7 linked regions of the Mus musculus genome follow. The protein of the gene in region 7 interacts with the protein of the main gene of each other region in a pairwise test. Links are inferred from orthologs where the notes say so. Each region holds a gene or a part of one and is shown on either strand. Other genes may lie near its edges.

The links.
Region 1: the proteins of Washc3 (region 7) and Hsbp1 interact in binary tests that used the Homo sapiens proteins (3 or more experiments, as listed by UniProt). The two-hybrid records come from large-scale screens. The link is inferred for Mus musculus from reciprocal best matches to the Homo sapiens genes WASHC3 and HSBP1.
Region 2: the proteins of Washc3 (region 7) and Txlna interact in binary tests that used the Homo sapiens proteins (3 or more experiments, as listed by UniProt). The two-hybrid records come from large-scale screens. The link is inferred for Mus musculus from reciprocal best matches to the Homo sapiens genes WASHC3 and TXLNA.
Region 3: the proteins of Washc3 (region 7) and Syce1 interact in binary tests that used the Homo sapiens proteins (3 or more experiments, as listed by UniProt). The two-hybrid records come from large-scale screens. The link is inferred for Mus musculus from reciprocal best matches to the Homo sapiens genes WASHC3 and SYCE1.
Region 4: the proteins of Washc3 (region 7) and Pbxip1 interact in binary tests that used the Homo sapiens proteins (3 or more experiments, as listed by UniProt). The two-hybrid records come from large-scale screens. The link is inferred for Mus musculus from reciprocal best matches to the Homo sapiens genes WASHC3 and PBXIP1.
Region 5: the proteins of Washc3 (region 7) and Txlnb interact in binary tests that used the Homo sapiens proteins (3 or more experiments, as listed by UniProt). The two-hybrid records come from large-scale screens. The link is inferred for Mus musculus from reciprocal best matches to the Homo sapiens genes WASHC3 and TXLNB.
Region 6: the proteins of Washc3 (region 7) and Ift20 interact in binary tests that used the Homo sapiens proteins (3 or more experiments, as listed by UniProt). The two-hybrid records come from large-scale screens. The link is inferred for Mus musculus from reciprocal best matches to the Homo sapiens genes WASHC3 and IFT20.

The regions. Positions count from the first base shown.
Region 1 is NC_000074.6:119,343,333-119,347,337, forward strand, and holds the start of Hsbp1 (heat shock factor-binding protein 1), read left to right. Parts: upstream 1-1,205; 5' UTR 1,206-1,243; coding exon 1,244-1,288; intron 1,289-1,603; coding exon 1,604-1,670; intron 1,671-2,280; coding exon 2,281-2,399; 3' UTR 2,400-2,401; intron 2,402-4,005. UniProt on the Homo sapiens protein: Negative regulator of the heat shock response. Negatively affects HSF1 DNA-binding activity. May have a role in the suppression of the activation of the stress response during the aging process.
Region 2 is NC_000070.6:129,638,266-129,642,225, reverse strand, and holds the start of Txlna (alpha-taxilin), read left to right. Parts: upstream 1-1,160; 5' UTR 1,161-1,255; exon of another isoform or gene 1,256-1,295; intron 1,296-1,420; exon of another isoform or gene 1,421-1,798; 5' UTR 1,799-1,804; coding exon 1,805-1,970; intron 1,971-2,658; coding exon 2,659-2,997; intron 2,998-3,960. UniProt on the Homo sapiens protein: May be involved in intracellular vesicle traffic and potentially in calcium-dependent exocytosis in neuroendocrine cells.
Region 3 is NC_000073.6:140,777,855-140,781,354, forward strand, and holds part of Syce1 (synaptonemal complex central element protein 1), read right to left. Parts: intron 3,081-3,500; coding exon 3,021-3,080; intron 2,678-3,020; coding exon 2,603-2,677; intron 2,077-2,602; coding exon 2,029-2,076; intron 1,795-2,028; coding exon 1,740-1,794; intron 1,573-1,739; coding exon 1,483-1,572; intron 1,275-1,482; coding exon 1,211-1,274; intron 723-1,210; coding exon 656-722; intron 579-655; coding exon 455-578; intron 392-454; coding exon 281-391; intron 145-280; coding exon 63-144; intron 1-62. UniProt on the Homo sapiens protein: Major component of the transverse central element of synaptonemal complexes (SCS), formed between homologous chromosomes during meiotic prophase. Requires SYCP1 in order to be incorporated into the central element.
Region 4 is NC_000069.6:89,435,261-89,439,503, reverse strand, and holds the start of Pbxip1 (pre-B-cell leukemia transcription factor-interacting protein 1), read right to left. Parts: upstream 2,801-4,243; 5' UTR 2,724-2,800; exon of another isoform or gene 2,550-2,723; intron 1-2,549. UniProt on the Homo sapiens protein: Regulator of pre-B-cell leukemia transcription factors (BPXs) function. Inhibits the binding of PBX1-HOX complex to DNA and blocks the transcriptional activity of E2A-PBX1.
Region 5 is NC_000076.6:17,841,219-17,843,690, reverse strand, and holds part of Txlnb (beta-taxilin), read right to left. Parts: intron 2,266-2,472; coding exon 2,170-2,265; intron 994-2,169; coding exon 211-993; 3' UTR 1-210. UniProt on the Homo sapiens protein: Promotes motor nerve regeneration. May be involved in intracellular vesicle traffic.
Region 6 is NC_000077.6:78,535,021-78,539,160, forward strand, and holds the start of Ift20 (intraflagellar transport protein 20 homolog), read left to right. Parts: upstream 1-1,340; 5' UTR 1,341-1,556; intron 1,557-3,489; 5' UTR 3,490-3,718; intron 3,719-3,813; 5' UTR 3,814-3,815; coding exon 3,816-3,942; intron 3,943-4,140. UniProt on the Homo sapiens protein: Part of intraflagellar transport (IFT) particles involved in ciliary process assembly. May play a role in the trafficking of ciliary membrane proteins from the Golgi complex to the cilium.
Region 7 is NC_000076.6:88,214,597-88,218,096, forward strand, and holds part of Washc3 (WASH complex subunit 3), read left to right. Parts: intron 1-1,370; coding exon 1,371-1,478; intron 1,479-3,500. UniProt on the Homo sapiens protein: Acts as a component of the WASH core complex that functions as a nucleation-promoting factor (NPF) at the surface of endosomes, where it recruits and activates the Arp2/3 complex to induce actin polymerization, playing a key role in the fission of tubules that serve as transport intermediates during endosome sorting.

The sequences.
Region 1 (4,005 bases), on a different chromosome or scaffold from region 7:
CAGAGGGGATCAGCCACTCCTCCTGCCCTGTCTAGAGTCTTCCTTAAGCTGCCCAACTCCCTATAACAGCCCCAAGGTAGGGTGGAACAATCGGACCTTATATCCTAACGCCGCGTACCTTCACTGGTTTGCTAGACTCAGAGACACCCCCACTCCAGTCCATAAATGTAAAGAATTGGATCTGTCTTAGTTAGGACATCTATTGCTGTGAAGAGACACCATACCCACAACAACTCTCATAAAAGAAAATATTTAACTGGGGCTGGCTTACAGTTCAGAGGACTAGTCCACTATCATCATGACAGGAAGCATGGCATGTGCAGGCAGACATGGTGCTGGAAGAGGAGCTGAGAGTTCTACATCTGGATCCACACACAGCAGGACACTGGCCAGGCTTGAACTTCTGAAACCCCAAAGTCCGCCTCCTAGTGACACACCTCCTCCAACAAGGTCACACCTACTCCAACAAGGCCAAACCTCCTAATAGGGCCAGTCCCTATGGGCCTATGGGGCCATTTGTATTCAAATGACCACGATATTCTATCCCAGCCTCCTCCACTGCCTGCACTGTGTTTTGTCTGTGTGAGGTTGTTGGGTCTCCTAGATTTGGAGTTGTGAGCTACCCTGTGGGTGCTGGGAATAGAACCCGGGTCCTCTGGAAGAGCAGTGAGTGCTCTTAACCGCTGAGCCATCTCTCCAGCCCCCTAATGTTTTTTAGTAGTAACAGAACACTTTCTTATTTTGTGTGTATGTTTATGTGTGTATGCATGCATGTCACAGCAGTGCACACACAATTTGTGGGAATCGAGTTTCTGCTTCCAACATGTGGATCACAGAGATTGAACTCACAGTGTCAGACTTTGAAGCAAGCTCGTCACCGGCTTCGCCTTGCAAGGCCTGAGTGCCTAACTACATCCATGGAAGAAGCCAACGCTAATCCCCACAATTTTGGTCCATTTCCGGCGTTTTCTCCTCCTCTTCCTCTCGGTTCAGCCTTCAGGGTGGAACTGGGCGGAAGATGAAGGCGGAGCTAAGAACTGGGGGGCGTAGCTTATCCGCAGGCAGGACAATCTGAAGCCTCCTAGGACCTTCCGGTGCGTGGCAGAAACTACAACACCCACAATGCCTCGCGGTCCCGTGACCGTGTAGTCGCGAGAACTGTCGGCTTGTGGGCGTCTGCGCCGAGAAACCGAAGTGTAGGTGACGGTTCCGAGACATCGCCGCCAAGCTGGGCACCGGGGAGATGGCCGAGACGGACCCCAAGACCATGCAGGACATCACCTTGGTGGTAAGCGGCAGCCTCATATGGGCCTGGACACCCCGGGGCCGCTCTCGGCCCTGGCGTGGGGTGTGGCCAGCGGCCTCGGCCCGCGCACCTGCGGGGCTCGCCCTCCGGTCGGCCCCGACCCGGACCCTCCGGACCTGACCCGCAGGGACACCGATCCGAGCTGGCAGGCCCTTGCTGAAGGCCTCACACTCCAGCCGGGAACCACCACCACCCCACCCCCCCTTCATGCCTGCGTCCTCGGCTCCCCAACGCCGGTCCCAGGAAGGGGGTCTCGGCATAGGTTGGGATCGGCTGACTTGTCCTGGTTTCTCTTAGGTGGAGACGCTCTTGCAGCAGATGCAAGACAAGTTTCAGATCATGTCAGACCAGATCATCGGAAGGAATATCCTTTTGATTTGGAGGCAGTTTCTTAACTGTGGGGGTGAGCGGGGTGGTTTACAAACAGATTTCAGTTAGTCATTTAGAAATTGCCTTTTTTTTTACAAAGGGTTTATTATTTTTAATTATATGTATAAGGGGGTACTGGGAGTGACTGAGACCAGAGGCGTTGGATCCCCTGGAGCTGGAGTAACAGGCGGTTGTGAACTGCCCAGTACACTCGTGCCCTCTGCAGGAGCCTCGCGTGCTCTTAACGGCCGAGCCTTTTCCCCGTCCCCACTTAGAAGTGTCTTTCCTGATCTTGGCTATATTGTGTTCCCGTGGAGGACTGTGCCAAGAGCCAGAGACACAGCGAGACCTACCCCAAGCCCTTGTTGGTGCCCCTCCAGAACACCAGTAAAGGGGTTTGCATGGTAACCGTTGTCTGGGAGTACTTCTAGAGTTGGAGGTGTAGGGAAGAAAACTCACCCCAGTCCCCCCGAACCCCGACCGCCAGGCTGTCACTGTAGCCAGATGAAACTGGGGAAGCAGCTGTTTAAACCAGTGGGCGGGGGCCTGGGGGGGAGAGGCCGAGGTGAGGTGATGCTGCCGTGCGGGCTCTTTAACTGTGCCACTAGATGACATGAGCAGTCGGATTGACGACCTGGAGAAGAATATCGCTGACCTCATGACCCAGGCTGGAGTAGAAGAACTGGACCCTGAAAACAAGATTCCTACTGCCCAGAAGAGTTGAAGGTGAGGGGGGGGGGTTACCTCAGCGTAAAACGCCCGTCAGTGCGACGGGGTGGGGGGGTGTCGTTGATCGGTTATCAGGAGACCTCTCTCCTCCCCACCGGTGAACTCCCAAGTTTTTGAAATACCACCCGAAGTGAGATCTGACGCCCTCTTCTGGTGAGTCTGTAGACAGCTACAGTGTACTTATCTATAATAATAAATCTTCAGGCCGACCTGAGCGAGCACAGGTCCTAAATTCAATTCCCAACAACCACGTGAAGGCTCACAACCATCTGTACAGCTACAGCGTACTCATATACGTAAAATAAATAAATCTTTAAAAAGAAAAGAAATGTTCCATGCCAAACTAGTTCCTTGGGTAGATTTCACATTTCCGAGTTGTATTACTTCAAACTTACTGTATCAGTGCCAGGCATGTGCCAATCTTTTTCCTCATAGCACGATGTCAGCTATGAAATTCCCACCTAATCCCAGCACTTGGGAGGCAGAGGCAGGCAGATTTCAGAGTTCGAGGCCAGCCTGGTCTACAAAGTGAGCTCCAGGACAGCCAGGGCTACACAGAGAAACCCAATCTCGAAAAACCAAAAAAAAAAAAAAAAAAAAAAAAAAAATGAGATTGATTTTTCCTTCCTTCCTTCCTTTCTTTCTTTCTTTCTTTATTTCTTTCTTTCATTCATGTACGCTGTCACTCTCTTCAGACACACCAGAAGAGGGCATCAGATCCCATTACAGATGGTTGTGAGCCACCGTGTGGTTTCTGGGATTTGAACTCAGGACCTCTGGAAGAGCAGTCAGTGCTCTTAACCTCTGAGCCAGCTCACCAGCCCTGAAATTGACTTTTGTTAAAAGACTTATTTACATATGAGTGTTTTACCTGCATATGTTCCTCATGCCATGGGAGGCCAGAAGAAGGCATCGGTTCTCCTGGAACTGGAGTTACAGGCAGCACTTGCCACCACATGGGTGCTGGGAACCAAACCTAGGTCCTCTCCAAGAGCAAAAGTGCTCTCAATTGATGAGCCTTGTCCGTCCCATGACGGTTTCATTTTAAGTACGTTAACAGTTTGTGTTGGGCCTCACTCGAACCCTAGGCCCTGCATGGACATACGTGGGACTCGGACACATGTCTATCCGGTAAGCTGCTCACTGAGGACCACTGGATGATGGCAGTTTGGGGCATGTGGTTTTGGTGCCCTGCCCTTACCACTGAAATAGCTCATTGCTTTGTTTTTGGAAATAGTGGAGAACTCAAGCCACCTTCATGAGCATAGATATCTTAAGTCCTAGAGATGTGCGTGTGTGTGATTTTTACTGTAAACTTGACGCCTTTACTCTAAAACCACCTACTGAGGTGAATTTCTTCTTGTAGCCTGCACCTGTGCTTGTTGGGGGAGAGGCACTTTTTTGTTTTTTTCTTGAGACGTAATCTTATGCAACCCTGCCTTGTTGGCCTAGAACTTGCTGTATAGACCAGAACGGCCTCAGACTCAAAGAGCTCCACCTGCCTCTGCCTCTGCCTCTGCCTCAAGTGCTGGGATTAAAGGTGGGCCTCACTTTTACCATCTGCAGAGTCCTAATTTCTTAATGAAGTTTACCAAGGATTT
Region 2 (3,960 bases), on a different chromosome or scaffold from region 7:
ATCACAATTGTGGGGTTTTTTTTAATGTTCTGAGCCTACACTGGCACTGCAAATCATAATGAAGAACAAAGACGAGAAAAATCTAACATTTTAAAGCAGTAACACTTGATACTTTGCAGAAAGTGGGGCAGGGGTGGTAGGGTGGGAGTTTACCAACCTGCCTAAAGCCAAACTCCCTGGCTTCAATCCCTTTCTGAGGGAGTAATTGCCAAGCTGGTGGGGTTAGAAGGCGGGGCATAAATTGCCTCAGAGAACAGCTGTGGTGTCGGAGAATGGTTCCAACCGGTTTTGGTAGGCAGCTCTGAGTTAGAAGCCAGCATAGTCAAAGATTACGTTCTAGGACACACTAGGCTACACAAAGAAACCCTGACTCAGGGGGCAAAGAAATATTTTTAAAGGATGGGTGCTGGTGTCAGGCTTCCAGCTTTGAATCTGCTATAACCACACAATATTGATGGAGCCTTAAACTATTTACCCTTTACCTGGTGGCCTTTGCCATTAGTCCAAGCCATGGGGAGGCAAAGACAGACAAAACTCTTGAGTTCAAAGCCAATTTAATCTACATAGGGAGTTCCAGGCCTGCCAAAGCCACATATAACGAGATGTTGTCTCTAACAAACAAATAGTAGTTTGTTTTATTTTAACTAGGCTTTTCTGTACTATCGTATATTTCACAGATCACTGAGTATTTTGTACTTAATCCGAGTAATTATGAGAATCAAGCTACTGGATACGAGGAAAAAACGTTTGAATTATTATAAACCTTCTATTGTAATAGAGGGGAAAAAAATGCCAGGCACATAACAAATTAGTTTACCTTTCTATCCCTCTTCCGAGTTCTCAGAGATCATAGAAAGTCATACATGTTTATAAAGGACTAATGAGTGTATGAAAAAAAAAGAAAAAAAAAAGACCAGAATGCCAAAGTTTAAGGCCAATCATAGCTTCAGTACCAGAAAAGAGGCTGACAAAAATCTCTCGACCAATGACATAATTTCGGACCCTCAGGGTATTTGGCTCCTATGCTTTTCGGTTGCATCTCGGGAGTTGTGCGGCGCCGCGAGGCATGAAGGGGCTCGTAGTTTTTCCCACTCCCGCCTCCAAAGCCGCCTTGACTTCTTTTTTCCCAGCAAGCTCCGCGCCCGCGTTTGCTGTTGATTGGCTGCGGCAGGAGAGGGCGGTCCTGTTGGCAGCAGTTACCTAGGTTTCCGGTGCTCGGCCGGAGAGGAGGACGCCGCCGGACGTCCGTGGTGAAGTATGTCTATGGGCTGTACGTGGGACGAGCTCTTCAGAGGGTCTGTGGCCCAGGACGCGTTGGCCGTAGAGGAACAACTAATTCGGGGGGTCGGGGGGAGGGCGGCCTGCCCCAGTGTTGCGCGTGCGTACTCTAGGTCTAGAGGGCGCGTGGGGTGTGGGTGGCTTCTGTGCGCGCGCGCGCGCGGGGGTCCCACGTGGGACCTGGTGGGGCGGGGAGCCGATCGGGACTGGAGCATCCCGCCACGTCAGTCTGCGGCTCTGAGCCAATCCCGCGCTCCGGCTGCCGAGAGGGAGCCGTGTGGTGCCGAGAAGTGGCATTCGGGAGAAAGGAGGCCTCTTCCTTCCCTCACTCACTCAGGGGCAGCTTCTCGGAAACCTTCCATGGGACCGTGAAATCCCGGGCGAAGACCGACCGGTCTGTTTGAAGCTTCGAGCGTCAGATTTGGGGATTTCTTATCTAGTTGTGAAGAAGAATTTTGAAGTCTAGAAAAAAAAAAGCAACTGGGTCCTTAAAGGATCTGCCCCATTTCTGGCCTTGCAGATCACAATGAAGAACCAAGACAAAAAGAATGGGCCTGCCAAACACTCCAACTCGAAGGGCAGCCCGGGGCAACGGGAAGCAGGACCGGAGGGAGCCCATGGACGACCCAGACAGACAGCTCCTGGGGCGGAAGCCGAAGGTTCCACAAGCCAGGCTCCTGGGAAGACCGAGGGTGTGTGCCAGCTCTGCTTTTCCAGTGGGCAGAGGGAGGAGTTTCTGGTACTGGTCTGTCTTCTGAGGCCAGTGTTTACCCAAGAAGAAGGAACTATAGAATGAACGATGCTCATTCTGTGTGATCCTTTTGTTTCCTGGGGAGGTGGTGAACCTTCCCACTCTTAGCCGTGGGGCGCAACCTTGGGAGCATGCTCTGACTGGTTTAAACGAAGACAGTCAAATGAAGCACCCCGTAAGCAAAGTCATATTCCCAGAGAACACTTGCCAGTGGTGGGTAATTGTCCTTCATGAGGTGCAGCGTCTGCCACATGCCAACTGCTCCTCACACAGGGGTGCTTTACACAGTTGGCTTTTATAACAAGTATGTTTGGGTGTTAGAAATACTTGTTTTATAACTAAACAAACTTAGGGTTTAAAAAAACTTAAATTGAGGCCAGGCCTAGTGTCCCTCACCATTGTCCACAGAACTCAGGAGGCAGAGGCAGACAGATCTCGGAGTTTGTGATCAGCCTGCATACTAAGTTCCAAGACAGCCAGGGCCCTGTAGAGAGAGCCTAACTCAACCGAATAAATAAATAAAACAACATTTAACCCACACCAGTGTGTTTATCTGGGCTTAAAGAAGATCCAAGCGAGTGGTATGACCACTGAACTTTAATCCCGTGTCTTCATCTTTCCTGCTGTAGGGGCTCGAGCTAAAGCAGCTCAGCCTGGGGCCCTCTGTGACGTCTCTGAGGAGCTGAGCCGGCAGTTGGAAGACATCCTGAGTACATACTGTGTGGACAACAATCAGGGAGGCCCGGCTGAGGAGGGAGCACAGGGTGAGCCCACTGAGCCGGAAGACACGGAGAAGTCCCGAACCTATGCAGCCAGGAATGGGGAGCCTGAACCAGGCATTCCAGTCGTCAACGGCGAGAAGGAGACCTCTAAGGGAGAGCCTGGAACAGAGGAGATCCGAGCGAGTGATGAAGTTGGAGACCGAGACCATCGGAGGCCACAGGAGAAGAAGAAAGCCAAGGGTCTAGGTGAGGGGGGAGCTATTGGTGAGGGGAGGGAGTTAACACCTGTCATCTCATGGGCTAACCTGCTCTGTCAGAACTCAAAAGAATCTGCTTTTCAAGACAGTATGTGTGTTATCTCCCCTCCCCCCCGCCCGGGTTTACTCAAAGATGGGGTCCTAGCATTGAGCTGTTAGATCACTCACTTGTGCAAAGCCTCCTGGCCTTGGGAAGTGGAGGCAGAGTGTAGCTAGCATCTCACTGAGGATATGGAGAACAGGAGGCCCGAGTGCTTGCCAGCACCACTTTTAGCTGCTGCTTGACTTTGGACATGTTTATTCTCCACTCCTGGGTCTTAGTTTCCCTGTTTCTATAGCAATAGAATTAGGCTACACCAAGGTTGAGATATCAAATATCAACATGAACCAGGTAAGCCACAGACCTCTTCAGAATCATCAAGAAAGGGCCTTCTTGATCTGAAAAATTGACTCCTACCTGGTTAGTCCCCCACTCTCATCTGACCAGCTGAATAATTGGCAACCAAAATAATAGAAACCAAGCAAAGCCATCCACTGGTGGGGTTTGCCATCTCCATGCCAATCTCGTGGGCCTCCAGGACTGACAATTCAGGAACCTGGTCTGTGCTGACTGAATACAGTGGAACCCAAGGGAGACAATTGTAAAGCTTCCTGGCTGAGGTAGAGGCAATCAGGCGTGATGGCATCCACCTTTAATCACAGCACTTGAGAAGCAGGGGCAAGTAGATCTCTTGAGTGCCGGACCAGCCAGCTGCATAATGAAACCTTATCTCAAATGAATAAAAACAGAGAGCAATGGCAGTCCTTTGACAGGGGTGGTGGGATAATATGAAAATATGAATTTAGAATCTAATGGGAACCTATGTGGTAGTGTATGCCTCTAATGGGCGACTAGGAGGAACAGAGGCAGGAAGACTGAGTTCAAAGGCAACTTGGACTACATAGCAAGACC
Region 3 (3,500 bases), on a different chromosome or scaffold from region 7:
TTCCACAGACTATACTCTGGAGAATACCACTTTTTTCCTTTCCCTTCTGTTCCCGGATTTACCATCCTCCATGAGCTGTCTTCTTCGTTTTGCGTACTATGAGCAAGGATCTGTACCCCATGCTTTTCCAGTTCTTCCTTCAGCCTGTCCGGGAAGCGTGAAGGACGAGAATGAAAGCAGAAAAATCAAGAAAATATGAAGAGACATACCGGCAGAACAGGGGAAACAGCTGCCATTCACCTTCCTGGGAGAAATGAGGACACAGGAGCTCCGTGCCTACCTCTGCCGTTTCTGCTGTAGCTGGTGGCACCTCTGCTGCAGCTGCTCGTGCTGCTGAGCTGCAGCCTCTAGGAACTCCTCAGCTTTCTTGTTCTCATCCTTGAACATCTGCCTGATAGTGTGGAAAGAAGTCAGTGCTAGACATTTCCTCCTCCTGCCCCACCCTGCATCTTACATTGCTGCAGCTGCCTCATGGCTTCGGAGGAAGAGTCCCTCAATGAGGCTGGAAGAACCCTCAGGCCCGCCCAGGGCACACAGCCGCTGTCTCACATCCTCCAGCTTTACTTTCATCAGTTTCTCTACAGAGAGAAAGAGTAATAAGAAGGTAAGGGCAGGTTGGTGCAGCTGAGAGCCACCCTTCTGGCCCTGACCTCACCTTCCTTGAGCAGCTGCTCCTTGCTGCTGTCCAAAACACACATCTCCTTTGTCAGATGTTCAGGCTTCTGGGGTGGGGGGGCACAAACAAGAAGATATGTCCAGATCTCCTGGCTCCCCTGAGCTTCAGAGAAGCCTGTCTACATCTCATCATTTCTCCTCTCAGTAAGTTTCACTTCCGAGGACCCTGCCCCTTGGTGTGTGCCAGCTATGGTTTATGGATCTCGTCATTCCCTCTCCTCGGACCTTTAACCCTGTAATGAGGTTCTAGGGCAAGTATTCGAAACCCTAAAATCTGCAATCCTACAATCCTGAGACACTCTGAAGACTTAGGTATTAGCGTTTCTTCCTCTCTTCTCTCCTCCTGGCCTCCTCACTGACATAGAGAACACTGAATGGACACAGCAACATGAGTGAATGGTAAGGACCAATACTGAAGACACCAAGTATCTCAAGAGTGGTCACCAGGGACTGGATTTACGATGACAGCAGGACCACCAACCAATGCTTGCACAGGGACAAAGTATAATAGGTAGCATAGTGTTGTATGACTCACATGAAATTCCAAGGTGTCCTTATGTTGACTCATCAAAGTCTCCAGATGTTCTTCAAAATCCAACCTAGGAGGCAACCACAGAGCCATGATGGCCATGAACTACCACAGAGCTAGGCCAAGGTCTGAGTCTATATAGCACCCAAGGACTTCGTGTCCACTCTTACACAAGGAATAGCTTCACCCCTTGACCATCCAGGACTATGGCTGGCCATCCCGGGCATTACTATACCTATATCACGTCCCCAGCCCAAGCCTCACACCTTGAGGTTTACCTCAGTTTTCTTAGTTTGGCCTTCTCTTTGTCGATCTGGGAGTTCAGGAAAGAAATTCTCTCTTTACACTCCTGCAACATGCTGTGCTTCCTGGGAAAGAAACCAACACTCAGCCATGTTCTTTGAATGACTCTCCTGGAGGGAGGGCTGGGGGCTTCTATTCTGTTCCTCTGTATTCAAGCCTGTGTCTAGCAGAGCAGATGGTGTGGGAGGTAACAGGAACACTTAGGGAAACCACTGCAGGCATGGCATCTTACCTCTGTGCCTCACTTTCCTTCTCCTGGCAGTGCAGCTGCATAATCCTCAGGGTCTCTGTAAGGATAACAACAGTGCCCTCTGAGTGCTTGCTAAGGCATCTAATTTGGCAAATAGAAAAAAACATATCACATCAAGTCTGTGGACACTTGATTGGATTTTGACATTTTCTGGGTCTGGTAAAAGCCATAGGAATGTCACAAGGTTGGGAGTTCTTAAGTTTCTAGCTACTAGAGAGAGTGGGCTTAGATAGGGTATCACAAAGCCTAGAAATGGGTAATATGGGAATACCTTCCTTTCTGTTCAAAATATCCTTCAGACGTACTTTCTCTTCACGTACTAGAAAAGATGATGAAGGTTCAGGCATTAGAGACCAAACACAGAAACGTCAAGGGCAGTCATACGAGAGGCAAGTATAACTGTGACCCTAACCCAGATGCAGTTTCCTTGAGGTAAGTTCCTACCCCTACGGGTATCCACATTCCTGTAAACACAATGTGCCCTAATTTTCACAAAAGATATCCATGTCCATGTACAACAACCACTGGGACCAGGAAAAACAACACCAATCAAAAGGGCTATGTGATCAGGTAATGCAAGATGACTAAGAAAGACATTTCTAATAATATACAGCTGCTGGTGTGAGGCAATAACTTGTATTATCTAGGGCAATACATGGAGGATCATCTCTGCAAAGGACTCAGGGCAGAACAGGCCTCAAAGGCATTTCCACAGCCCTCCTGTTAGAAGATGGGACTGCTAGAAGAAATGAGGTTGGAGGAGAAGTCATGGCCCGGGTGTTTGCAGGACTGCATTAGAAGTCTAAGACATCATAGAAACCTCTAGTGACTCTCAGTTAACTTACGTAAGTCCAGTTCCTTCTGCAGGTTGTCCCAGACAGTCTGGGCCTCTCCAAGCTCCTCACTGGCTTTCTTTTTTGCTTTACCAAAGAGGAGGACAGACATTTGGTAAGTACAGCCTCAAGGACAAATGAGGAGATTTCACACTCTCCCCCCAAAGAAAACTTAGAGGGGGCCCAGATTTTACAAAGCAGGAAACAAGGCTTTCTAAATCCTGGCCCTTCTTGCTAGGCTCGGGTGGCAGCAGGGCTGTGTTCACAGGCAAATGACTATGGCGGTTACAGGCAGAAGGGCCCTGCACTTATGCTCTCATGAAATAACTACAGAGACTTTAACAAGGACCCCTGTATTTCCACTTTTTATTGGGCCTGGCCAGTTAAAACTTGTAGCTGGTCCTGGATGGCAGCCAATCACTGAGCTCACCTTGCTGAACCTCATTAATACGGTTAATCAGGACCTCAATCCGGGGCTCTAGGCTTCCCACTGCAAAGCAAAAAGGAAGCTCATTATTGATAGAGTGTGTCTAACCTGGGATTCTACAGCTTTTACTTTACAGAAATCTCCTAAGCATCTCACGTGTACAGGTGCTACATTACGGTCTCAATCTAGGATTGTGGGGACAAGGAACAGACCGATAGAGATACTGAGCCAAGCTGTAGGAACTTCAGTCAAGAGAAATGAAGCAAGGGGAGAGGTCCATAGGCAAAGGTCAAAAAGTGCTTCTCAGATATGGGAAAGTGTCTTGGGGGGCTTCCATCAAGGAAGGCAGGCCCTCAGGCTCTCTGGGTAAAGCAGTGGGTGCCCTGAGGAGGAAATGAGAAGGAAACAGGATACATATGATCAAGTAGAAGGTGGCAGGATGTAAAGTGGAAGAGGTTATGGGTAAAACCTCTGGATCTAACA
Region 4 (4,243 bases), on a different chromosome or scaffold from region 7:
CTCTCTTAAGAACGGGAATTCCTGGGCGTGAAGGCCTACACTTGCTTTTAATCCCAGTGGCTCTTTGAGTGTGATGCCAGAGCAAGTTCCAGGATAGCCGGGGCAACACAGATGAGCTTTGTTCCAAAGAAACAACCAAAAGATAAAGAAAAAAGAAGAGGAAGGAAGAAGGAAGAAAAAGGAGGAGGAAAAAGAGGGGGAGGAAGAGGAAGAAGAGGAAGATGAAGAAGAGGAAGAGGGGGAGAGGAGGAGGAAGAAGAGGAGGAGGAGGAGAGAGGAGGAGGAGGAAGCAGAGGAGGAAGAGGAAAAGGAAGAAGAGGAGGAGGAGGAAAAGGAGGAGGAGAGTTCTCTTCAGGAGAGGCAGATAGCAGCAGCAGGATTTCAGGCCTCAAAAGATGGTCAGTCTCCTCAAAACCCCGGGCTGGTCCCAGTCCTCCTGCCCCAGGTCCCATAGCTTTCCTGACAGTATTTACTTCACTGTGCTAAAAGCCACAGGAAAGCTACCTCATTCAAGGGTCCATAGGACCTTGGAAAACTGCACTGGCCATAAAGATTCAAAGAGGAACAAAGGCTGAGAAGTCCAACCCCTGGTGTTCTGGCTAGAGGAGGAATCTCAGAGGCTGACTGACTGAAGAGAGAAGGAAATGACCTGGGTCCCTTTCACAATACCTGGGTCCTCCATAGTCCCCAGTGTCCTCCCACAGAACCCAAAGAAAAGGCTCACCAGCTTCCTTAAGGCCCAAGTGTCCCAGTACCCATCCACCATCAGTCCTCCACACACTGGGGCACTTAGGACAGTGGTTCTCAACCTGTGAGTCGACATCCCACAGGGCTTACATACCAGATATCCTGCGTATCAGAGATTTACACTAGGATTTGTGACAGCAGCAAAACTACAGTTCTGCAGTAGCAACGAAATAATTTCACAGTTGGGGGTCACCACAACATGAGGAACTGTATTAAAGGGTTGCAGCGTTAGGAAGGTTAGGGACTACCGGTTTAGGGGTTCTCAGCACTGGCTGTGCAGGGCTCAGCTAGGATTACCACTGGAGTGAGCAGGAAGGAAGTTTTCCAATACTGTAGGGCCCAGCGGCCCACTTGGGTCACTCCCTCTCAACCTTAAATTGTACAGGTTGATCTCTGGGATCTTGAAAGTGACTGGGGAGAAGTGGAGGAGCGGGGGTTGTGGCAATTACCATCGATAAATTACATTAAGATCTGCAAAATGGGGGGTGGGGAACTGGGTCTCTGATCCTGTCCCTTGCTAATCACAGCTAAGGGCAGCTGGGGTTAAGGTATCACCCTCTACTTCCAAAGACCAGCATAAAGCAAGGCTGTGCCCTTGGGCTAGGGCGGTGCAACCGGGATCAAGTAAGAGGATGGAGTGACAGACAGCTAGCTGACCCACTGGCAGAAAAGGCAGAATGTGAAATTTGACTGTACCAGCCAAATGCTCCCCAACTACTCCCACTGGGTTTAAGTCCTGCATGATTGCCTTAAAAAACCCTGTGGCTCTGGGGCTGGTGAAATGGCTCAGCAGGTAAGAGCACCAGACTACTCTTCCGAAGGTCCTGAGTTCAAATCCCACCAACCACATGGTGGCTCACAACCATCCCTAACGAGATCTGACTCCCTCTTCTGGTGTGTCTGAAGACAGCTACAGTGTACTTACATTAAATAAATAAATCATTAAAAAAAAAAAAAATCCTGTGGCTCCTGTTGGGCAAGATTCAGGCCCAAGATAGGTAAAGGACATCTAGTGGTGTCTTCCACAATGCTCATGTCTCCTAGACACTGATACCCATCCCACACAGGGACAAAACAATTGCAATGACTTCCCTATACCAAGTCCCCAAAAAACCCCGAACTCCCCACCCCCTTCTTCTAGTGACACCCACACAGCCATCTTCCTTCAGCTTTTGGCTCTCAGTCCCTCCACTGTCCTGCCATCCCCAGTTGCTGTGTGTGACTGTTAACAGGTGGCAGCAGGAAGGAAGTGGCCACAGCAGCTAGAGCAGAGGTCCCTGTTTATCCCTGGCTGTTTACAGCCTGCTCAGGTCCTCCAGAACTCAGCACCATGGCAACCAGGGTGATGTCAGACCCATCGTCTCCATGGAAATCGGCAATGGTATGGTATTTAGGTCAACAAGACAAACCTAAAACTGAAGCAGAAGTCTTCCTAGAACCCCTGCACTCGGGGTCCCAACCCTTGATACCAAAAAGCATCCCCGCTTTCCCAGGCCGGCACATCGGCACATTAATACCTTATTAGGAAGCCTGTCTAAGCAATCCAGAGCCCACTTAGCTGCCACCCTTCCCAGCTGTGATTTTAGGGCAGTCTTTGACCTCTAAGAAGAAAACCCACCCACTACTCTCTCTCCCCTTTTCACTCAGGCAGGATTTCACAAAAACTTCTGCTGTTTCTAAAAAAGAGAGTGTTCCCAGTCTGCACAAAACTGGGAAGTCTGGTTTGATATGCCCTTGATTGTCTCTAACTTCCTTCTCTGTCTGACCTTTAAAGGGAAGGACCTGGGACCACAAAAACTTGCCTGAGTTCCTGCTTCGGAATCATCTGTCTCCCTCCTTCCCCGCCCTTCGGTCCTGTGTTGGGCAGTATGTGGACGCCGGGGCTGCCCACTCCTTTTATACAGCTTTGCCCTCTTTTGTTATCTGGGGATAAAGTGGGAGTCTGTAACGCCCCTTCCCGGCAAGGACTCCTTTACCTGACCCAGCTCCTCGCTTCAGTCTTCAGCTTAACTTGTTGCAACCTCCCAGCCCAGGAAGACAAGAGGGGAGTCACGTGGCTAGTGTTTGACCAGTGAAAAGTCGACTTCCCCGCGGGGGGGGGGGGTGAGGGGGAACTTTTGACCAATGAAAAGCTGGACTTGAACGCCCAGGCAGGGGAGAGAAGGTCTACGCAGTACCTCTCTCCCTTGGTTTATCTTTTTTGGTGGGCAATTTGGTCTCCAGCAAAGTAAATTTGGGAGACCTCCCCTCTTTTCTCAGTGTCTAGTGTCTAGTAGGAAGACCTAAAACTGAAAGGTGCTGTCTGATGAGGGGGCAAGGACCAGGTGCCATGTTGGTCCCAGGATAGACAGAGACAGCTGTAGGATGGGGGATGGGGTCCAGTGCAAGTTGTGGGTTTAGAAATAGCCCTCTCACCACTCTTATCCGCCCCAATGCAGACTAAGGATGCCACTACTTTGGATATGGAAGACGGCCAAGCATGGTGGTGCCAGCTCCTGGGAGACAGAGGCAGGTGTGCAGGTGGATCTCTTGAGTTTGATATCAGCCAAATCTATATATAGTGAGTTCCAGGCCAGTGAGGGCTACATAGTGAGATCCTGCTACACATGCACACGCACACCCTGTGGGATGTCTTAGCTGGGTAAAACCTCCACGTGTGCACATGTTTGCACCTCAAGAGATCATACAGACACAAGATAATAAATTTTTAAAAAATTAATGGAGGGAGGTGCTATAATCCCACCACTGGAAAGACTGAAGAAGTGGATGTTGAAGTCCAGCCTGGGCTACTAAACAAATCCCAAACCAAAACCAAACTAAAACAAAAGCAAAAAAAAAAAAAAAAAAAAAAACTCAAACAAAAACAATGGAAGAACCGAGGCAGAAAAGCATCCACAAATTAAAGTCAGGGCTGGATGTGACCCAGCAGTGGAGCGCTGTCTGTCATCTGTAAAATGGAAGGGGAAGCATTTAAGAAATTTCAAATTTTTATGTGGATGGGTGTTTTGCCAGCATGGCTGTAGCATTCTAGAGTTACAGATGGTTGTGAGCTGCCACGTGGGTGCTGGGACTTGAACCTGAGTCCTCTGGAAAAAAACAGGAGTTCTTAACTGGTGAGCCATCCAGCCTGAAAACTCATATTTAAAACCAACCAACCAAACAAACAAACAAAAACCCCACCTTACTTGTGTGTGAGGATACATACCAGCCGTGGGACACAGGGCAGAGGGCAAGCTGCCATGTCAGTTCTCTCCTTCCACCCATGGGTTTCAGAGATTGAACTCAGATCCTCAGGTCAGCCCAAAGTATCTTCACCTGTCACCTCCTTGGGCACCCCAAATAAATGTCTGAAATAAAAACTCTGGACGCAAGGGAACTGGAAGGTTTAAATCCAGAGCTCAGGCCCTGATGCCAGAGGCCTTGGCTCCAACCCCATCTGGCTTCCGACTAGCCCAAGAATTGCTCCAAAAGCGGAGGTTCCCACATTGAGGATCTA
Region 5 (2,472 bases), about 70 Mb from region 7:
GTATATTTGCTATTGATGTGTTTGGCTGCCAAATCACAGAGAATTTCCATATTAGTTATAAATTGCAAACAGCAGCAAAGACTGGAAGTGTTCTGTACAACTTTAAAAATGTCTTGACTCTAACTCTTCCTAGTCCTAGAAGTTTCTTTCACAGACTTTCTTCTGTGAGGAAGATGCAGTCAGGTGAGCAGCCAGAAGAATCAACAAGGCTTAGTCTACTCCATTCAGACAAGCATCGGGCTCTCTGGGGAGTCCAGTGGAAGGGCCTACGGGGATGTCTGTGACTTCTGGTGGGGGCTGCTCCCTAGACTCACAGCCGGGCACCACAGCAGAATCTCCCTCACTCTCTGGAGATGGTGAAATATCATATTTTGCCTCTACTACAGATAGGGAGCCCTGGGCTGGGGACAGTGGGGCCTGACCAGAAGTGTTTGCCTCTGGTTTATGGGGCTTCGGACCCGGGGTATTTTCTGCAGGGAGACCCTGACTTTGTAGCTCTGCCTCTGCAGGGGTACAGGAGGCTGTAGGGGCAGGTGTGGCCTCACAGACGCCCTCCGCCACAGCCTGAGCACCTACAGGGGGCCGAGGACTCCCTGAATCAGCGGGAAGGCTGGGATGGTTTAAACGGGCTGTTTCGGGGTGCTGGTGGGTGACATCACTTCCACTTTGAGGACCATTCACTGCCAGCTGTCTTTCCGTTGGTTGGTCTGGGGTGAACTCTGGATGATGAAGGATGGTAAAAGCTGTGGCCAGGTTTTCCACAGCTTTTTGAAAACTGTTGGCTTCCTCTGCGTCCACCTCTTCATTTTCAGAGACGCTTGGCTCTGGCTCTTCCTCAGAGGTGCGCTGAACCTGGTCTTCCTTTTCGGACATTTTTGCTTCTCTGATTTTCTTGTAGAGTTCCTTTCTCTCCTCTTGTAAAGCACGACACAGGTTCTCCAGCCTTTGGATTTTCATCACGAAACACTCGTATTCTTTAGCTCGCAGGGCTTTCTGTGACATAAATGCACACACACACACACACACACACACACACACACACGACATGAGCAGTGAATTTCTCACGATGCTGTCCAGAAACAAAACTAGAATTTGCCTACTACGTTTGAACAAACATTTCGGGACATCTCTTTGTTTTTCTGATGTTTTGATTATTAGACTAAAAGACTTTTAATTACTATTGCCTGTTCTTTGGGAAATAAACCTATTAAGACTTCTTTCTACTCCAATAAACACCTTAACCTACACGAATCTTCTGTTCCTTAAAAACTGGAGGGTATAGGCAACATCTTCTGTGAAATAAGTAAGATGGCCTGGGCTTCACTCTCAGCGGGGTGTTGTGTATTCTAGGAAATATGTCTTCTTGCTAGAACTGCTATATGCTAATTCCAGCAGCCATCTGATGAGTGTTGATGAGTCATACATACATCTTGGGAACTGGTTGCAACTTGGAATGAATCTCTAAAGTGGTAATTATAACCACAGAAACGCACCACATACCAGTTCATGATGTTGGCTGCTTAAACCGTTCAGTTCTCCTTTTCTCTGGTAACAGTGGTGTGAGAGTGAGCAGAGAACTGCTCCTAATCATCTCACTACTGATTCCCACCCTGGCTACCCTGGATCTGTAAGACCCTCTTTACTTGTTACCATGAAGGGATCTTCACTTGTAGGTCCTGCCACTCAAATTGGACCTCATAAACCTTTGCCTTTAGAGTTGTAAAGCCTGTAGGCCCTGGCAGAACATCAGCTACCAAATACCTGTTGGAGGAGGTTTTAAAAAGATTTCTTCATATCTGTCTGTAAAATACCCTAAATGTGCTGGCATCTTCTATCAGCACAGTGAAACCAATGCATTAAGTGCACTTGCTGGGTGCCAAACAGTAGAAGTTCAAGATCAAGTAAGACCTTCATCAAAACCTTTCTAGGCCAGCAGGCATAGTGCCATTCTGGGGTCAGTTTTCTACCTAACAATTCTGTGACTAAGGTTTACAAAGATCTCTGACTCCTCCTTAGATTTCTCAGTGACTCTTGATCTTATTCCTGATCTTATATTTTAATCTGTTACGTCTCCCTTGAAATTCAGCCTATTTTCCAAACGTAATCACTTGTACTATTAGGTTCTGATGATTACTTTTGACAGGGTTGGGGAAGGAAGAGCGTCCTCACCTCTTCGATCATGTCCAACAGGGCTTTGTTACAATTCTCAAATCGGGCTTTCCACGTGGCGGTGTCCTTCTCCAGCTTCTTCATTTTCTTAGTTGTCTACAGAAATTAGAGTGTTTTAGTGATAATCCTGAGGCACTAAGGAAGCAATTAGCTCCACACGTGACACCAAGGGCAATCTCTTGTTACCAGCTGCTGAAGCAAACAAATGTTCAATGTCAACAACGAAGACTGAGGAAGAGGAACGATTTCTTCCCGAGTCCTCTGGATTGGTGACGAACGAACTTGTTTGCACCGGAGCCAAGT
Region 6 (4,140 bases), on a different chromosome or scaffold from region 7:
GTCGTTTCCTGTTATTCCTCATGTTTTACAGGTAAAACCCACAACACTGGTCCTCAAACAAGAATTAAGTATATACATCAGCTTGCTAAACTAAAACTGACCCTGAAGAGATTTCAGTATGTCCTTGGAATGGTCGGGAGTGGGGGGCTTTCAGGAAGGTCTATATTGGTGCTATATTAAGTAGCATATCCTTTTGATGGCTTAATTGCTTTCAGTGATGGAACATGGAGGAAACGAGCTCCGGGAGTCTGACAGTAACACTACAATGCTAGACTGGTGAGCGACTGACCGCCTTACCTCAAAGCGGGAAAAAAATCAACTCCTCAACAAGTTTTAGCAAGTTCCTCACATACTTTGTGTGCAGTCCCATTTCCCCAGAATCAAGGAAGCACATAAACACGTTCTGCCAAATCAAAGAAACCCAAGTGACTAGGCTTGCCAACTGAGGAAGTCAAATCCGGAGCTAATCTATTCTTTTCCTCCTAAGAGCTACTTTGAGTCCTAGATGACGTCAGACCAGATTCCACCCAGACCAATTAGGTCCAAGAGTCCAATGGCAGGTGACGCCCTAGAAAGAAATTTCTGAGAGGATGAAGTTTCCACTGATAGTTTCAGGGCTCTTTCCTCAGGACTTCGCCTGTGGATAGAGGGGTAATCCTGGGGCTGGGGAACATACACGTGTCTCTATGGGAACCTAATGCGAAGCCAAGCAGAACAAAGCGCAAACGATCACGGTAGTTCAAAGACTTGGGGTTCTAAAGGAAGGACACGAGGTACGGCGAGGTGGGAAGGCTGATTTTGGCAAGAAAGGTCAGAAATCGTGGAAGCGGCTCTTATGTTTCACCCAAAGGCTCTCCAGTGGAAATGGAGAAACATCCCATGTCTCTCGTTGCAGTGTAGGCTGCTCTCCCGCCACACCCCTCCTCTTCTGAAAAACTGAGATCCGTGGTGCCTCCCATCCCCAGAAAAGACCTGAACTTCATCCCCGCGCGCCATCCCGTGCCTTTTGCCCAGGACTCAGCAGAGCCTGTCCTTCCCCTCTGCACCCGCACCTCTGGCTCTCACCGTCCGCGGGGACGCCTCTCCGAGTCTCAGTCAAGTAGCAAGCGGACTCGGTGCCACCTCTGGCCTGCGGCTGCCTGCAATCTCGGCTGTGAGCTCACATCCTGCGCCCGCCGACTCCGGAGTTACAGCCCAACCCTACAGATCGGGAAAGAGACTACAAGACCCGGCATGCACAGCGCGCGAGCTAGCAGTGGGTCGAAAACTTGACGTTTGACTTCCTTCTACTTCCGGGTTCGGGAACAAATCTACTTCCCGTGTCGTAGTCCCCGCCCCCTGAGCAAAGGCTTCTGGGCCTAGTGGGCAGTTATCGCGTGTTGCATCTATTTCCCAGCAAGCACCGCAGGGTGGGCGGATGCTGGTGCTTCTGGACTCGGGGGTGACGTGTGGCTCCTAGATCTTGTCTCCGTGGCAGCAGCCGGTTGCAGTTGCCGGAGAGAAGCTTCTACCGACAGTCGTCAGGGCCGCAGAGCGCTGCCGAGGCGGCTCGTCAGGTAGGTCGGGGACGTGGAGGACTTGGGACGGGAGGAGGCCGACGTGACCCAGCGCCGAGGATTGGCTGGACCGGGTGGAAAGCGGCGGTTTCCCTACCTCGGAGTTTTTAGGGATCGGGTTTACACTCAGCTCAGCCTGGCTCCCTCGATGTCACCGGTGAACCGAGGTTCGGACATTGCAGGAGTATAATTTAGTAAAGACAGCCGCGCCATTTGCCCAGTTCTTCCTGTGTCTACGCCTTCTCCAAACTCCACAGCTACAACTATTTGTTGTGCCTGCGGACCTGGGAGAGCCAGGGAGCGTAGAGCCAGGCACAGCCTTCATGCTTAGGAAACTCAATCCCACGTTCCTGGAGCATATTTGTGGTGGGAGTTAGGGGTGGGCTGGGGATCTGATAGCCCGCTATGTACCATATCTATCTTACCCATCTCTTTAAACTGTCCTTTCCAGCCATACTCTCGGTCCAATCCAGATCCATGGCAATCGTGTTTGGCTCCTTTCTTCACTTTTCTCCAAAGTGCTGCATTAAGCATTACTAAATTCTGTCAATTCAGACATCATCTGATCTCTGAACTCCCGTTCGGCTTCAAATCTTTTCTTCTGTTACAGCCTTCTGTTTCCACATGAATTCATTCATTCTGCAAACATTATCAGAGTGCCACTTACCTGCAGGCAGCCTGCTTAGAGATGCTTGGCTCACAGTGAGAAATTTGGAAAGGACGCCTCTATTCTGCTCTTCCCTGTTCCCTCTGTTTGGCCAAGGCAGTGAGTGATCTTTCCAACTCTGATCAATAAGCACTGCCGAAATCCACTGCTAGCGGTTATCATTATAAAAAATAATCCAAGTTCAGCTGGGTGTGGTGGCGCATGCCTTTAATCCCAGCACTTGGGAGGCAGAGGCAGGTGGATTTCTGAGTTCGAGGCCAGCCTGGTCTACAAAAGTGAGTTCCAGGACAGCCAGGGCTACACAGAGAAACCCTGTCTCGACAAACAAAACAAAACCCAAGTTCATTTACTCATCCAGCTATAGCCGGTTGCCAGCCTTGCTCCCTCTTGCTGTTTTGATCCCAGGACCCTTTGTGTCAAAATCTTCCAGCCTTAGGACGCCCCCATATGCTTTTCCCTATGCCCACAATGTCCCTCTCCCTTCTCTTAGAAGATTTTCTGGACGTGTTTAGGTCCCAGATTGTTTTTTCTGAAGGCTTTTGTTGACCTCTCTGCCTACTTGAGTTATGTCCTCCTGTAGAATCCTGACAGAGCACTGAGCGCTGTTCCTCATACCCTGATCACAGTTTGTGTTTATTTGCTTACTGTCTGTCTAGAGACACTATGTTCACTCTGTCCTTGGAGCTGGGATTCAATAAGGGTTTTTGTTTTTGATAAATGCATGTTAACTCAGAAGGCAGTAGGAGTTCAAACAAGTGTTTGCAGTCTCATGTCATATGAACTCTTCCATAGGACCTGGTCCAGTTAGTCCCTAGGAGCTCTTAAATACTCAAACTATCCAACTAGAACAACACAGGAAGGCAATTGTTTTTTTGTTTTTTGTTTTTTTGAGACAAGGGCTTGTGTAGCACAGGATAGCCTGGAACTCAGTATGCAGCCCAGGTTGGTCCTAAACGTGTGTCAGTCTTCTAGCAACACAGTGAGTTGCTAGAATTAGAGTCACGCATGACCATAGCTAGCTTTTAACTCTCATTTTAAAATTCATCCTTTTTGTTTTGTTTTGTTTTTCATTTCAGGGCATGCATTTGAAAAGCCTTTTTGGGACCTTAAACAGGGATTTATGACTATGCTTTTATCTCGCTCGCAGCTTAGGCCAGATACACCCAAGTGAACTGAAATTGTCTTTTCTCCTTGCTTAGTGATATTTCTGTAAAAATCACTTGATGCAATATAATCCTTCAGGTTCACGTGTCTGTTTTCCTCCAGCTAAGCTGTGCTGCTCCAGGGCAGGCACCATGTTGCATTCATCTTTACGCCCAGCATCTAGCAGTGTCGGCATGTAGTAGGCACTCAAGAAATGTATGTTGAATGAACGATGTCTGTGACAAGCAACTGGACTTTCCTCTTTCCTGACCCTTGCTCCTATGACATACCTCCTGATTGCCACTGTCACCCCTTCAAAGCAGACCTCTAGGGCTTCCTGGAAGGGAAACAGGTGAGGCTGAGAGCTGGAGGCAGAGGGATGGGTGTATGAGGAGGGCTGGGGTGGTGTCTGGGATGAAATTCAGGTCGCTGCTGGTTTCTCTGCAGCTATGGCCAAGGACATCTTGGGCGAGGCAGGGCTGCATTTTGATGAACTGAACAAGCTCCGAGTGTTGGACCCAGAGGTCACCCAGCAGACTGTGGAGCTCAAGGAGGAGTGCAAGGACTTTGTGGACAGTGAGTACCATCTGGAGACACAGTGTTGTTCTGCTTTGAGCAGTTTCCTTACCTGACCTTGGCCATTGTTCTTGGGTCTACCAGAATGAAGTTGCGTGCTCTCTGGATTGAGCCTGGTCTCTGGGTTCCCATGTGTACCCAACCTTCTCTGCTTGCCCTCTTACACTGCCATGGAGTCCCACATTTAGTGCCAAGCAA
Region 7 (3,500 bases):
AATTCTATGTTGACATTAACATAAGGAAATGAAGGTAGCTATGTCTACTTTCTCTGCCCTCTGTGGGCTTCAGCAAGTGTATCTGTTGTTTAGAACATTTCTTTGGCATGGAAATCTTGAAGCTGGCCTTGAATGTGCTGGGGACATTATGTCAGTCACAACTATACCCACTGGTGACTTTGGGACCACTGCCACTTTGCTAAGCACTGTCCTCAGTCAGCAATGACTTTTCCTGCCTGAGATCCTATCATCGGGGAGCTCTTATACCCTCTCTTATGACTGGATCTTATTAACAGTTAGGAATTTTAAAGTGCTGCCATCCGCAGACACAGTTACATTTCTGTGTGGGCAAGTTAACCTTAGCATTTCCCTGGCTGTAGTACAATGTCCACAGTCAGCCAAACAGCTGGCGAAGACGTGTCATAGCACCAGACAAAAGCAGGACGAGTTTTTATAAGTCTAATAACCCAAATGCTTATCTTTTTTGTTTTGAAATATTTACCATTCGAGTCTGAAATGTTGACAATATGTCCATTTGTTGTGTATGAAGAGAGCATATTTAGGTAATATTCAATGATAAATGTTTAAAGAGAGTAAAACAAGCTGTGTCATATGTTAAAATGTAAAGGCGTATCTCATATAATTAAAACTCAAAATTGGTAGAGGGCTAGGGAGAAGACTCAGCTGGTGAAATACCAGCTACGCAAGTTTGAGGGCTCGAGTTCAGATGGGAGAGAGGAGGATCCAGCGACTCCAGCTGAGAGAGGAGCTGCAAGGTCTCTGAGAGACCCAGTACACACACACACACACACACACACACACACACACACACACACACACACACATAGCACATTCACGTGCGCGCACACGCGCGCTCGCGCGCACACACACACCCACATGCAAGAAAAACGGTGTGCCACAGAGTACTTTTCATTAGCAAGGCATTTTTAATAAAAATATTTAAAATAGTTTTATAAGGAAAATGTTTTCATCCCCTTACAGATAACAAAAGTAGGACATAAGGCAGGTGGGCCAGGGAGCCCACAAGCATATTAGAACTTTAGTACACTTTGGCAGTCAAATTCCAAAGCCCATGTTCAATCCTCTGTGATCTGTCGGCTGAATGATAATTTGTAAGGAAAGAAAGGTTATCAACTAAATTAAACTTTTGAAAAAAAAAAAAAAAAACCTCTTTCAAAGAACAGCGTTTTTCACTTTTAGTTTGTGACATAGAGATTGAAGATAGAGTTCTGAACCTATCTACACGGTTGTATAGGTTTAAAGGCGCTAAGGAAGAATCCACAGTTCAAAAGTTTTATCTGTGCTCCAAGACTGATCTTTGTATGCCCACACTAATTCACGTTTCTCAGCTGTCATCTATCCCAGGCCTAGAGGACGTCACAGTTGAAGTGTCTCCTTTAAATGTCACTGCTGTCACAAACGGATCACATTCTGAAACCACTTCGGAGCAAACGCAGGTAAGCACCCGAGTTGCAAGAGATGCAGGACATCTGGGTTGAACAGGACAGCCAATGCTAAATATGTGCGAAATTCTTGGTACTCAAATCGTAAAACCTTAAGCTTTAAATAGCAATCCAAAATTAACAAGACCCAAAGGCTATATATTTCAATTTTCTGAAAAAGATAGAGTTTTGACATTGACTTGTTTGAATCCACATTCTACATCATGATAAGAGTCACTGTATAGTCAGCTTTTACGCTATAATATTCTTTCATGTTTCTATACATTTAAGTTTTTTACTATTTATCTTAAAATCTCCATTACATATACATCTCAATAAGTACTGAAATTTGAAACAATCACCAAACTGGTGAGCCACTAAAATAATATCAGCAAAGTAGTCACCTGTGTAGGTACATTTTACGTTTGCACATAGAAGTGCCCTTACCCAGTCTGTTAGGTCACCTGTGCTCATCCTCAGAAGAGCCCTGCGGCCCCTCGTAGTTGCTCTTCTATGCCTGATTCCACATCTCGGATTCACCTAGGCAAACATGGAGAGTATTCAGAAAAAATAATTTGTATCTCTAATGAACATTCTTCTTTGTTTGTTTTTGTTTTTCGAGACAGGGTTTCTCTATATAGCCTGGGCTGTCCTGGAACTCACTTTGTAGACCAGGCTGGCCTCGAACTCAGAAATCCGCCTGCCTCTGCGTCCCGAGTGCTGGGATTAAAGGCGTGCGCCACCACACCTGGCTTCTAATGAACATTCTTGTCAGTATTCCTTAAACAGTGCAACTATTTACATTGTAATAGGTACCATAAGTAATCTAGAGAAAGTTAAATTCAGACCAAGGCCACTTTATATAGGAGACTCTAGCAGATTTCAGTATCTGTGGGGTCTGAAGCCAATCTCCTGCAGATCTCAAAATACCTAGTACTATTAATCACTCCTAAATTTCTTAATTTGCTTTGCAGACTCAGAATCATCTTTTGTGTGTCTGATAATTTTTGAGTTGTAAATTAGTTTGTTTAGACTATCTGGAAGTTCTTGTAGCCTTCCTGGATTTATACAATTGTGATAGTTATTGTATTGATCAGCTTAATAAAAGGACTCTTAAGGCGTTTTAATATTTAGATTGACCCCTCTTTTTTCCTTCACTGACATTAACTAGTGGACTTTTATATAAAATATTTTGAAGCCAGGTGGTAGTGTACATCATTAATGCTACCACTCAGGAAGCAGAGGCAGGCAGATCTCTATGAGTTCAAGGCCAGCCTGGGCTACAGAGTGAGTTCTAAGTCAGCCATGCTATGAAAAGAAATCCAGTCTCAAAAAGCCAGTGTGTATGTTTGTGTGTATGTGTGTGTGTATGTTGTGTGTGTATGTATGTGTGTGTATACACACATATATATAATATTTTGAAAGGAACTAAATATTGCTTTATGAAGATTTCCATGGTTATGATAGTCAAATCAGCTATGCACTTTTGATATATATGCGTACATGTACAGCTCTGGCACATCAAGGTCATCCCTAGCTAAATAGAGAATCAGAGGCCAATCTATATGAAACCCCTGTCTCAACACAACCCAATAACAAAACCACCCTTTTGTAACTCTAAACTATGAGTCAAAATCCTAAGATCTGCATACTGATTTCATACAACTTTAATCTCAGATCTTTGTTGTACAGAAACTAGACTGTCTAGTTGTACAGATTGAGATCAATTGGAGAATAAAATGAAGGACAGTTGAGAGAAGGGATTATGATGCTTAATGGACCATTCACATAGTAAAGGCATGCCAGTATGTAATTAAACCCTGTGAAGGCGTGTTTGTTGGTTGGTGGGCACAACATAACTACTGGAAGTTGAAGACTGTTGAAGACTGGACAGAGCTCTCATTTGCTCTGCTGAGCTTGGGTGAGCCATGCATAAAGACTTTTAGAAATGCACTTGGATATTTTCTCTTTTCATGGGTAATGATGTTTCAGACTTCTATTTGCAGATGAATATTTATACTCATATATATTTCATTC